Linked DNA regions of Canis lupus familiaris. The protein of the gene in region 1 interacts with the protein of each later gene in a biochemical or structural test. Links are inferred from orthologs where the notes say so. Each region holds a gene or a part of one and is shown on either strand. Other genes may lie near its edges.

Evidence for each region.
Region 2: of the proteins of HMGA1 (region 1) and PRMT6, one has a biochemical effect on the other in vitro, tested with the Homo sapiens proteins (2 studies listed by BioGRID, with this or other methods). The link is inferred for Canis lupus familiaris from reciprocal best matches to the Homo sapiens genes HMGA1 and PRMT6.

Annotation. Positions count from the first base shown.
Region 1 is NC_049233.1:3,706,285-3,710,552, reverse strand, and holds the start of HMGA1 (high mobility group protein HMG-I/HMG-Y), read right to left. Parts: upstream 3,041-4,268; 5' UTR 2,968-3,040; intron 2,721-2,967; 5' UTR 2,607-2,720; intron 1-2,606. UniProt on the Homo sapiens protein: HMG-I/Y bind preferentially to the minor groove of A+T rich regions in double-stranded DNA. It is suggested that these proteins could function in nucleosome phasing and in the 3'-end processing of mRNA transcripts.
Region 2 is NC_049227.1:44,890,123-44,894,669, reverse strand, and holds PRMT6 (protein arginine N-methyltransferase 6), read left to right. Parts: upstream 1-1,553; 5' UTR 1,554-1,593; coding exon 1,594-2,724; 3' UTR 2,725-4,185; downstream 4,186-4,547. UniProt on the Homo sapiens protein: Arginine methyltransferase that can catalyze the formation of both omega-N monomethylarginine (MMA) and asymmetrical dimethylarginine (aDMA), with a strong preference for the formation of aDMA.

The DNA.
Region 1 (4,268 bases):
GTCAAATAAAATCTTCCCCTTTGATGCCTGCTTTCAGGAGGGGCAGAATTTCTCCACTGAGATGGATCCTTCTAGCAGATGCTGGCTGCCCTCCCTCCCTCCCACCCCCCCAGCCCTGGCAGAGCTGGTCCTCAAAGCTTCTTTTCTAGCATTTTCCCTCTTCTTAGAGGCCGTTTTGGGTTTAATCAGCCCCACTAATTTTGAGTTTACATAAAACCTCCCACTGCAAGGAGCACCTGCACCCCGGATTAGGGTGGCTCTTCCAGAGGCTTAAAACACAGTGAGGGTCCTCCCCTCCCCCATCCCATTTCCCCTCTTGTCTTTCCAGTTGCAGAGACAGGAGACCCGGGAGACCTAGGACTCTGTACCTCCCTGGTAACAGATCCCTGGTTGCCCTTGGGAAAGGGCGGGCCCACACAGCTACACTTCCAAAAGACCTCCATCTGTAAAATGGGGTAATGGGAAGACATCTACCCCAACTCCCTCTTCCAAACTGATGTCAAAGATTAAACCAGATCATAGTTAAATGATCATCATAGTCAAGATCATAGTTAAATGCGTCAACATAAAGTCCTCACTTCAATCAAAATGAGAACTAGAATATTCGAAAATGACTTTTCTTTCACCTATTTCAGATTTTCAGACACATTTCCAATTTTAACTTAGCCAAGAGAAAAGAAAGTTTTTTTGCAAACTTGTGATTTTTGGAGGGCTTGAGGCCCCCATCCTCAAGCATCACGATTCTCCAGACGGTGAGACTTTGGTAATTATTCTATTTTATAATATTTCAGACTTGAAGACCCTTTTAAACAAGGTGGTTGGTGATTTATCCTGCTCCGTCATTAGTGGCTTGGCCTGCTCTGTAATTACAGGCAGTGATTAGAATCTTATATTACACCACAGGTTCCCCTTCAAGCTAAACATCAAAATTAATCAGTCTAAATGAGCACTGACCTCACATGAGGTCTGCAGAAGGCCCCCTCACGGAGGGGGTTCCAGTTGGGCCAAGCCAGCCCCTAATCCCAGAAAGCCTGGGCCCAGCATGCCTGAGAATCCTGGTGGGTCTCCGGGAAAGTTCCTGCATCATCTGGAGATCCCCCCACCACCTCATACTCCTGGGGACCCCTTTAATCCACTCTCCAACTCCCTCCCCTTCCAGGCCTCCAGGAACTGAATGAAGGCCTGAAGCCCTCTCTCGGTAGGGCTTGTCTCTTCTTCCACCTGTTTCTGAATATCAGAAGCCTGGCTGGCGAAGCCATGTTTAGGGCCCAACCTGAATCCTTCTGTATGTAATGAGCCTTTCTGGGCCTCAAGCTTGCCCCTCCACACACCGTGCATGCAATGGGTCTTCCACAAATGCACACGAGTCTACGAGCACAACCCTAGGAAATCATCATGGGGCTCCCTTGTTTTCCGGAAAAAAAGTAGCCCAGAGAGGCCTGAGGAGTTGCCCAAGGTCACACAGCAAGTTGGTGAGGAAAGAGAGGTTGTTACCGGCGACCCCTCTAGCCCGGGACTTTTCTTTCCTTACCCTCCTGGAGACTGATTAAAGTCTCTGTCGCCCCCTGCTCCAGACCCGGCCCCAGGGTGACTCTGCAAGTGTCTGGGCCGGGCCGTTGCAGGTCAGCCAACGAAACTAGGGGCCCGAGCGCGCGGGGGGAGGGGCACGGGCTGCTCTCGCAGGCGCGGGAAACTGGTGCACCCCGACCGCATGCACCGCCACGCGGGTGCACCCGGCCCCACTTCCTGCCAGAGGGGGCACCCAAGCCCGCCTTGGGGCAGGAAACCTGGCGCGCGCGGGCGCGGGGTAGAGGAAGAAAGCCACCTCCCTCCGCGCCCTCCCCGCAAAATAAAGCTCCAGAAAAAAAAAAAAAAATTGAAACGGGGAGTCAGAGGGACTAGTTCCAACAGAGCCCTGCAAAGCAGAGAAACCTGTTTGTGGGGGCGGAGGGCAGGCCCGGCCCCGGGGGCTGAAGAGGCGCGGGCCGGGCCAGAGGTGGGGTCGGGGTGAAGCCCCAAACCCAGGGCCGCGCGGTTCGGCCTCCTCTGCGTAGGGGGGCACCAGGAGGAAGGCCGAGCGGGAGCAGAGCTGAATTGCGGGGCTCCCGCCCATCCCCCTCACTTCTAGAACTTCCCCGGGCTGCGGGGGTCGCCCGGCCCCCCACTCGCCCGCCTCGCCGCAGCCCGCTCCTCTCCCCACCCCCCACAGCCCGGGCCCCGGCTCGGGCTCGGGCTCGGGCTCCAGCGGGAGCGGCGGCCGCGCGAGGTGCACCGGGCTCCGCCGGGTGCACAACTCGCGCTCGCCGCAGCCGCGCGCCCCCTCCCCCACCGCGCGCCTTTCCCGGGTCCCCGCCCCCCGCAGGGCACCCGCGGCGCGGGGGAAGGGGTGCGGGCGCCCTCCCCGCGCCGCGGGGCCCCGCCGCCCGCCCCCGCGCCGCGCGGCCCTCCCCCGCCGCCGGCTCGCGCAGCCCCGGCCTGGGAATAAAGCCGGAGGCGCGCGCTGCAGCCCCGGGCGGCTCGCAGGAGGGGCGGCGTGCGGGCGGGGGCGCGGGCGCCCCCCTCCTCCGCCGCCGCCGCCGCCGCCGCGGGCCCCGGGGACGACTCACCGCGAGCTCGGCCGCCGGCCTGCGGTGCGCGCTCCGGGCTGCCGGGAGCGACGGTGCTGGGCGCTGAGGACCGGCCTGGCTCCGCCGCCGCCGCCGCTGGTAGCAAATGCGGATCTGAAACCGGGAGAGAGAGCAGAGGCGCTCAGAGACCGCCGCCGCCGCGTGCTCGCCGCCCAGGCCCCCGCGGGGTATTTATCTGTCACATTCAGGCGGGGGGACAAAAATATTCGCCCTCCCCCGAAGGATGGCGAGGGGCAGGAAGCTAGGCACGGCCCGTGCGCGGCCTCAATAAATAAATAATTTAATTAAATGATAGATACATAAAAAAAAAAAGAAGCCACCGGAGGGGCCGCGAACTCACGCCTTCTTGGAGCCGCGCCAGCGCCAGAAATAGCCCGGGCTCGGAGTCCCAATTAGAGGAGCGCAGCCCCGGCTCAGGGGAGCTTAAAAAGAGCGACCCAGGGGCAGGGGGGACGGGCCCGCCCGCGCCAGCCGTGTCACTGTGGGGGGCGGGGCCATGCAAATGAGCCCGGGGATTTAAAAGGGCGGCCGCCCGCCAGCCGCCGCCGCCGCGCGGGTGGGTGCTGACGCCCGGGAGGGGTGCGCGGGAGGCCTGGGCTGGGAACCCGAGGCCACGATCCCCTCTACTGTCCCGGGCCGGGAGCCCGGGGAGGGTGCATAGAGTGGGAACGCCAAGGAGCTTTCCGCGGGGGGAGAGGGGAGGGCGTCCTCACAGCCTGGAACGGGGCGGGGGGGCGGTCCTGGGAGGATCACCTCCAGGGACCTTCCGGGCGCGTGGGCCCGGCGCCCGCGGGGCGCGCTGGGTGTGGGCGGGCGTTAGTGCCCGCGGGATCCGCGCGGGCGGGCGGGGGCGGGGAGGAACGCGCCCGGGAGAATTCCGCGGCCTACCCGCCGCCCCAGCGCCCAGATTCGCGGCTCGCAGATTCCCCTGGGCGGACAGGTGTCAGCATGTGCATTTCAGTGCCAACCTGCGTGTGGCTGACTGGTGAAATACAAGTCTTGTGAAATCCAAACGTGAAACTTGTGAAATCCCGAGTTCTCGCTTATTAATGGCCGCGAGTGAGCCGTCATCCAGGTGCAGCCTCCAAGCGAAGCAAACGATTGGCTCGCTTGCAGGTAAACCCGAGGGTGGACTCGTCCCTCCAGGGGGCTCGCGTGGTGCTTGGAGATACGCCTACCCACTGGGTGCCCTAGCCTTCTCCGCTGCGAAGGAGAACGAGAAAGCGTGAGCCCACGGTCGCCTGGAAGCACTTTGAGGGCAGGGACTGGGTCGACGCGAGCCGTCCCCGCCACGCCTGGCCCGCCCGGCGCCACAGAGACTTGTTGCACCGACGAGGAGGAAGCCAAAGTCGAAAGATGGCGGGGAGGGCGGTGGGAGAAGAAAGGGCGCTGTCGAGAGCGGCGCGCCCTGCAGGCCGGGTCCGGGCCTCCTCGGGCGCACCTCCCGCCCCTGGTCCCCGCGGCTGCCCTCCACACCTCCCGTGATGCAGGGAAATGCAATGCGGCCCAGTGACACACGGCTGTGACTCATGTTTTTCTTTGCTCCCCTCCTTCCTCCCCGGCCGGCCGAGGCCCCAGCCCAGCCCCCTCCTCAGGGGGCGAGCGGGCGAAGGAGGGGGCCGCCAGGAAAACCCTGCGCCC
Region 2 (4,547 bases), on another chromosome or scaffold:
CTTAAAAGGGACCATAAGTAAGTGAATTGAAAACAGGTTGGAGGAGTGAGTGCATTTAAAAGGGGAAGGAGGAGATTTTGAGAGAGGAAAGAATGGGAGAGGAGTGCCCTAAGTAGCAGCTTAGAGGTGACGTATTAAAGCGATCGCATTTACTTAGGACTCTAATCTCACAGCCTGCTCTGCACCTGTTTCCTTAAAACAAGGAATCAAACTGGGCAGAAAGACAAACTGTTTTGAAGACTTTTAGCCTTAAATGGTTGAGCCCAGGCCACTGGGGGGGGGGGAAAAAAAAAAGATAATTTACCCGATGAAAATAATGAAGCAAGATTTAACTAAGATCATTTTAGGGAGACACAGTGGTTCTTACTCTGGCCGCACATTCAGATTCCCCAGGGAGCTTTTAAAACTTCATGCGCGGGGCTCCCGTGAAGTGGTTCTGACTTAATTAGTTTGAGGTGAGACAGAGGCACAGGTATTTTGTGAAAGCTACAGCTGACTGTACTGAGGAGCAAGAGAGCCCTCCAAGTACAGCTGAGGATGTCGGGTCAATAAACCTATTCCATTAAACGAGAGATTAACAGAGGGAAGAAAGGGGTGAAGGGACTTTAGTCCCCAAATACGGAATACAGGCCCGTCGGTTCAATGGACATAATCCGAGGCTACCAGAAAATAAAGTCAACTTTCTTCAATGTCTTTTTTTTTTTTTTTTTTTTTTTTTTTTTTGCTGGGAGAGAAGTTTATTCGCACAGTGCTGGGAACACAGACGCTCCCACGGACACCGCACATACTTCAAAGTGTATTTTATTTGTATCGTGAACAACAGGGAGGGAAGAAATGAACCCCTGACAGTTGACTGAAAGGGAAACGGAAGAGGAAAAATACCTCGTCCACGCCAACGACCACGCGGGGAAGCAACCGCGAGGCAGGCGGGCAGCCCGGGGGCTCCGGGGGCTCCGGGGGCTCCGGGGGCTCCGCGGCCCAGCGCCGCCTTCGGCCGCTCCCTCCGCCGCGTGTCTCACCAACGGATAAATAGGGTCTTTAAAAGAGAAAACCCGAACAAGGGAGGGAGGACGGAGCCGTGGAGCTCCAGCGGCGCCCGCCCCGTCACCTCGCGTCCCCGTCACCTCGCGTCCCCGCGCTGCGGCCTGGGGAGCGGCGGCGTCGCCCGGCGGGGCGCGACCCGACTGCAGGGGCTCCCGCCGCCAGGGGCTGGCAGCGCGGCCCTTCCGTGGCCCGGGGTCTCCTCGCGGCCCAGGGCCGGTTCCCACCCGCAGGGCTTTCTTCGTGGCGCTCACACCGTGCGCACCGCCCCTCACCTCGGGGCGCGGCGGGCTTCAGAGCGGGCGGAGGCAGAGGGCAACGGAGGGGCTGAGGGAGAGAGGCTCGCGGAACTCGGGCGCGCGGCGCCGACCCACCCCCCCGGCTCCGCGGGGCGGCGGGGGCGGCAGGGCTGCCAGCGCGGGGCCGCGCTCCGGGCTTCTCCCCCGGATAGTGGGCGGTGCCAGCCGGCACTACAAGTCCCAGAAGCCCCCGCTGCCCGGAGCCCGCGCGGAGCCGCGCAAGGCCCGCCGGGAGTCGGCCGGGGCCGCCAAGATGTCGCAGCCCAAGAAAAGAAAGCTTGAGTCGGGGGGCGGCGGCGGCGGAGGAGGGGAGGGAAGTGAGGAGGAAGATGGCGGAGCGCCGGAGGCGGCCCCGCCGCGACCCCGGAGGGCGCGGCGGGAGCGGGACCAGCTGTACTACGAGTGCTACGCGGACATCTCGGTGCACGAGGAGATGATCGCGGACCGCGTCCGCACCGACGCCTACCGCCTGGGCATCCTGCGGAACTGGGCCGGGCTGCGGGGCAAGACGGTGCTGGACGTGGGCGCGGGCACCGGCATCCTCAGCCTCTTCTGCGTGCAGGCGGGCGCCCGGCGCGTGTACGCCGTGGAGGCCAGCGCCATCTGGCAGCAGGCCCGCGACGTGGTGCGGCTCAACGGGCTGGAGGACCGCGTGCACGTGCTGCCGGGGCCGGTGGAGACGGTGGAGCTGCCCGAGCAGGTGGACGCCATCGTGAGCGAGTGGATGGGCTACGGGCTGCTGCACGAGTCCATGCTGCGCTCCGTGCTGCACGCGCGGGCCCGCTGGCTCAAGGAGGGCGGCCTGCTGCTGCCGGCGTCCGCCGAGCTCTTCGTGGCGCCCGTCAGCGACCAGATGCTGGAGCTGCGCCTGGGCTTCTGGAGCCAGGTGAAGCAGCTCTACGGCGTGGACATGAGCTGCCTGGAGAGCTTCGCCACGCGCTGCCTCATGGGCCACTCGGAGATCGTGGTGCAGGGCCTGTCCGGGGAGGACGTGCTGGCGCGGCCGCACTGCTTCGCGCGGCTGGAGCTGGCCCGCAGCGGCCTGGAGCAGGAGCTGGAGGCCGGCGTGGGCGGCCGCTTCCGCTTCAGCTGCTACGGCTCGGCGCCCATGCACGGCTTCGCCGTCTGGTTCCAGGTGACCTTCCCCGGCGGGGACGCGGAGAAGCCCCTGGTGCTGTCCACCTCGCCCTTCCACCCGGTCACGCACTGGAAGCAAGCGCTGCTCTACCTGAACGAGCCGGTGCCGGTGGAGCAGGACACGGACATTTCCGGAGAGATCACGCTGCTGCCCTCCCGGGACAACCACCGCCTCCTGCGCGTGCTGCTGCGCTACAAAGTGGGCGACCAGGAGGAAAAGACCAAAGACTTTGCCATGGAGGACTGAGCGCGGCCTCCTCCTCCGCCGCCCCCACCCCCAGCCCCAGGCGGCCGGCCTGCGGGGCGGGGTGCAGGGGGCCGGAGCCGCGGCGGAGCCCGGCGCGCAGGTGGGCGCAGCGCCTCCCCGCGCCCTCCCCGCGCCCGGTTCCCGGGAGGCAGGCGGACTGGAGTCTCCTCCTCCCAGGAGGTTCTCCCGGCGATATTTATTTAAAAAGTGAACCCCGAGGCCCCCAACGATGGAAACAGCTTGTTTATTACTGGGCCTCAAAAAGCATGTGGTACCAAGCACTTGTATTTCTGTTTCTTTTGTTTCGCGGGAAGGAAGCCAAACACAGAGGAAGGCTCCGTGCACATCCCTGATGTCTCCCACCCAAACCTGAAGCCAGGGAGAAGGCTAACGGGGTTTACCTAGACTCCATAAATTTCCACTATGACTTAAATATTATCTCTCCAGAGCCATATTCTTTCGTTCTCGAAATTCCCTCCTTTCCTAGGTGCCTCTAGGCTTCAGTGCTTCTTCCTCCTTGTTTTTTTAAATAAACTTTTGCTTCTGGTAATGAGAGGGAGGAGAGTGAGGAAGCAGTTTGAATTATCCTGTTCTTACACTTAACTACTTCCATAGGGTGCTAAAGTCGAACACATTTCTCCTTTTTGAGTAAAATAGGCCATATATAATTGTGCAGCATACCCCCCCCCCCCCCCAACATCAACAAGGTACATTTAGGAGAGAAACATCTGAAAGTGAAGTAGTACGGGTTTTTTTTTATTCTTGATTTTACTATTAAGATTTAACCAAGGCAATGTTTCGTGTATGTTACATAATAAAGTTTTGTGTGACTTTTATTAAACCAGTTGGCAGAAGGCTTTCTGAACCTGACCCAAGGGGTTTGTTCATCATATTGGGTAAATTCTTTAGGCTCTTTAAATTAAGGAAAATCTTTTCCCAGCTAGAGAAATGCACTCACTTAAACTCTCACTTGGGGAGATCATGTGATCTGGCCTACTTACATCAATTGAAATTTCCTTTTTTTAGTGTTGTTGAGTTCTTTTTTTTTTTTCTTTTTAGCTCAGCCAAATGTGAAAGTTGTGAATTTCGGAAAATCATTTGTGATGAAGTGTGAGTCATGTTATCAAATTTATTTCACGGATGTTTCCCTCCTTATCCCTGTGGCAAATAAAACATTGGCATTCTATTTTTATAGATGAAGTAAGAAGTCTTGTGTACTGCGACTTAATAATGCTTTTGCCTACTTAATATCGTCAGTTCTTAAGTGTTACAACCCTTTCGGAATATAGCTTCAGGATAGTTTATGCTTAATGTATGTTTTTTCTTCATACTGGTGGCTTTTGTATGCTGATAGAAAACAGGTGTGAGAAGTGGTCTTTGAAGTAATTCAGTATAGTTTTGTTTATTGTAAATGAGTTTTCTCCTTTATTCATCACATATTAAAGTACTGAAGTATTATAACCAATTTGCTAAAATGTGGTGTTAACACATGAGATCTTCCATTAGGAGAGGAAACATACAAAATCAATGACTTGCCAAGATCCAAGCAATGACAGTGATAGTTGTCACCGTTTTGATAGTTAACAGTCTGTGTAAATGGTGCAGTCATAGTAAAGTAGGCCTGATTTAAGCTGGAGGTATAAAATAAGTCCTTTTTATTTTTTAGGGTCAACTATATAAGATGAACGTTTATTTACAATACTAATGTATGATTTTGGGTAGATTTCTGATGCTTTTTTTGACTTCCTGTAACAATCCATTTGCTATGTGGGCAAACAAAAACATTCTGAATTCCAGTTTTTGAAATCCCTTTTATAAATGTG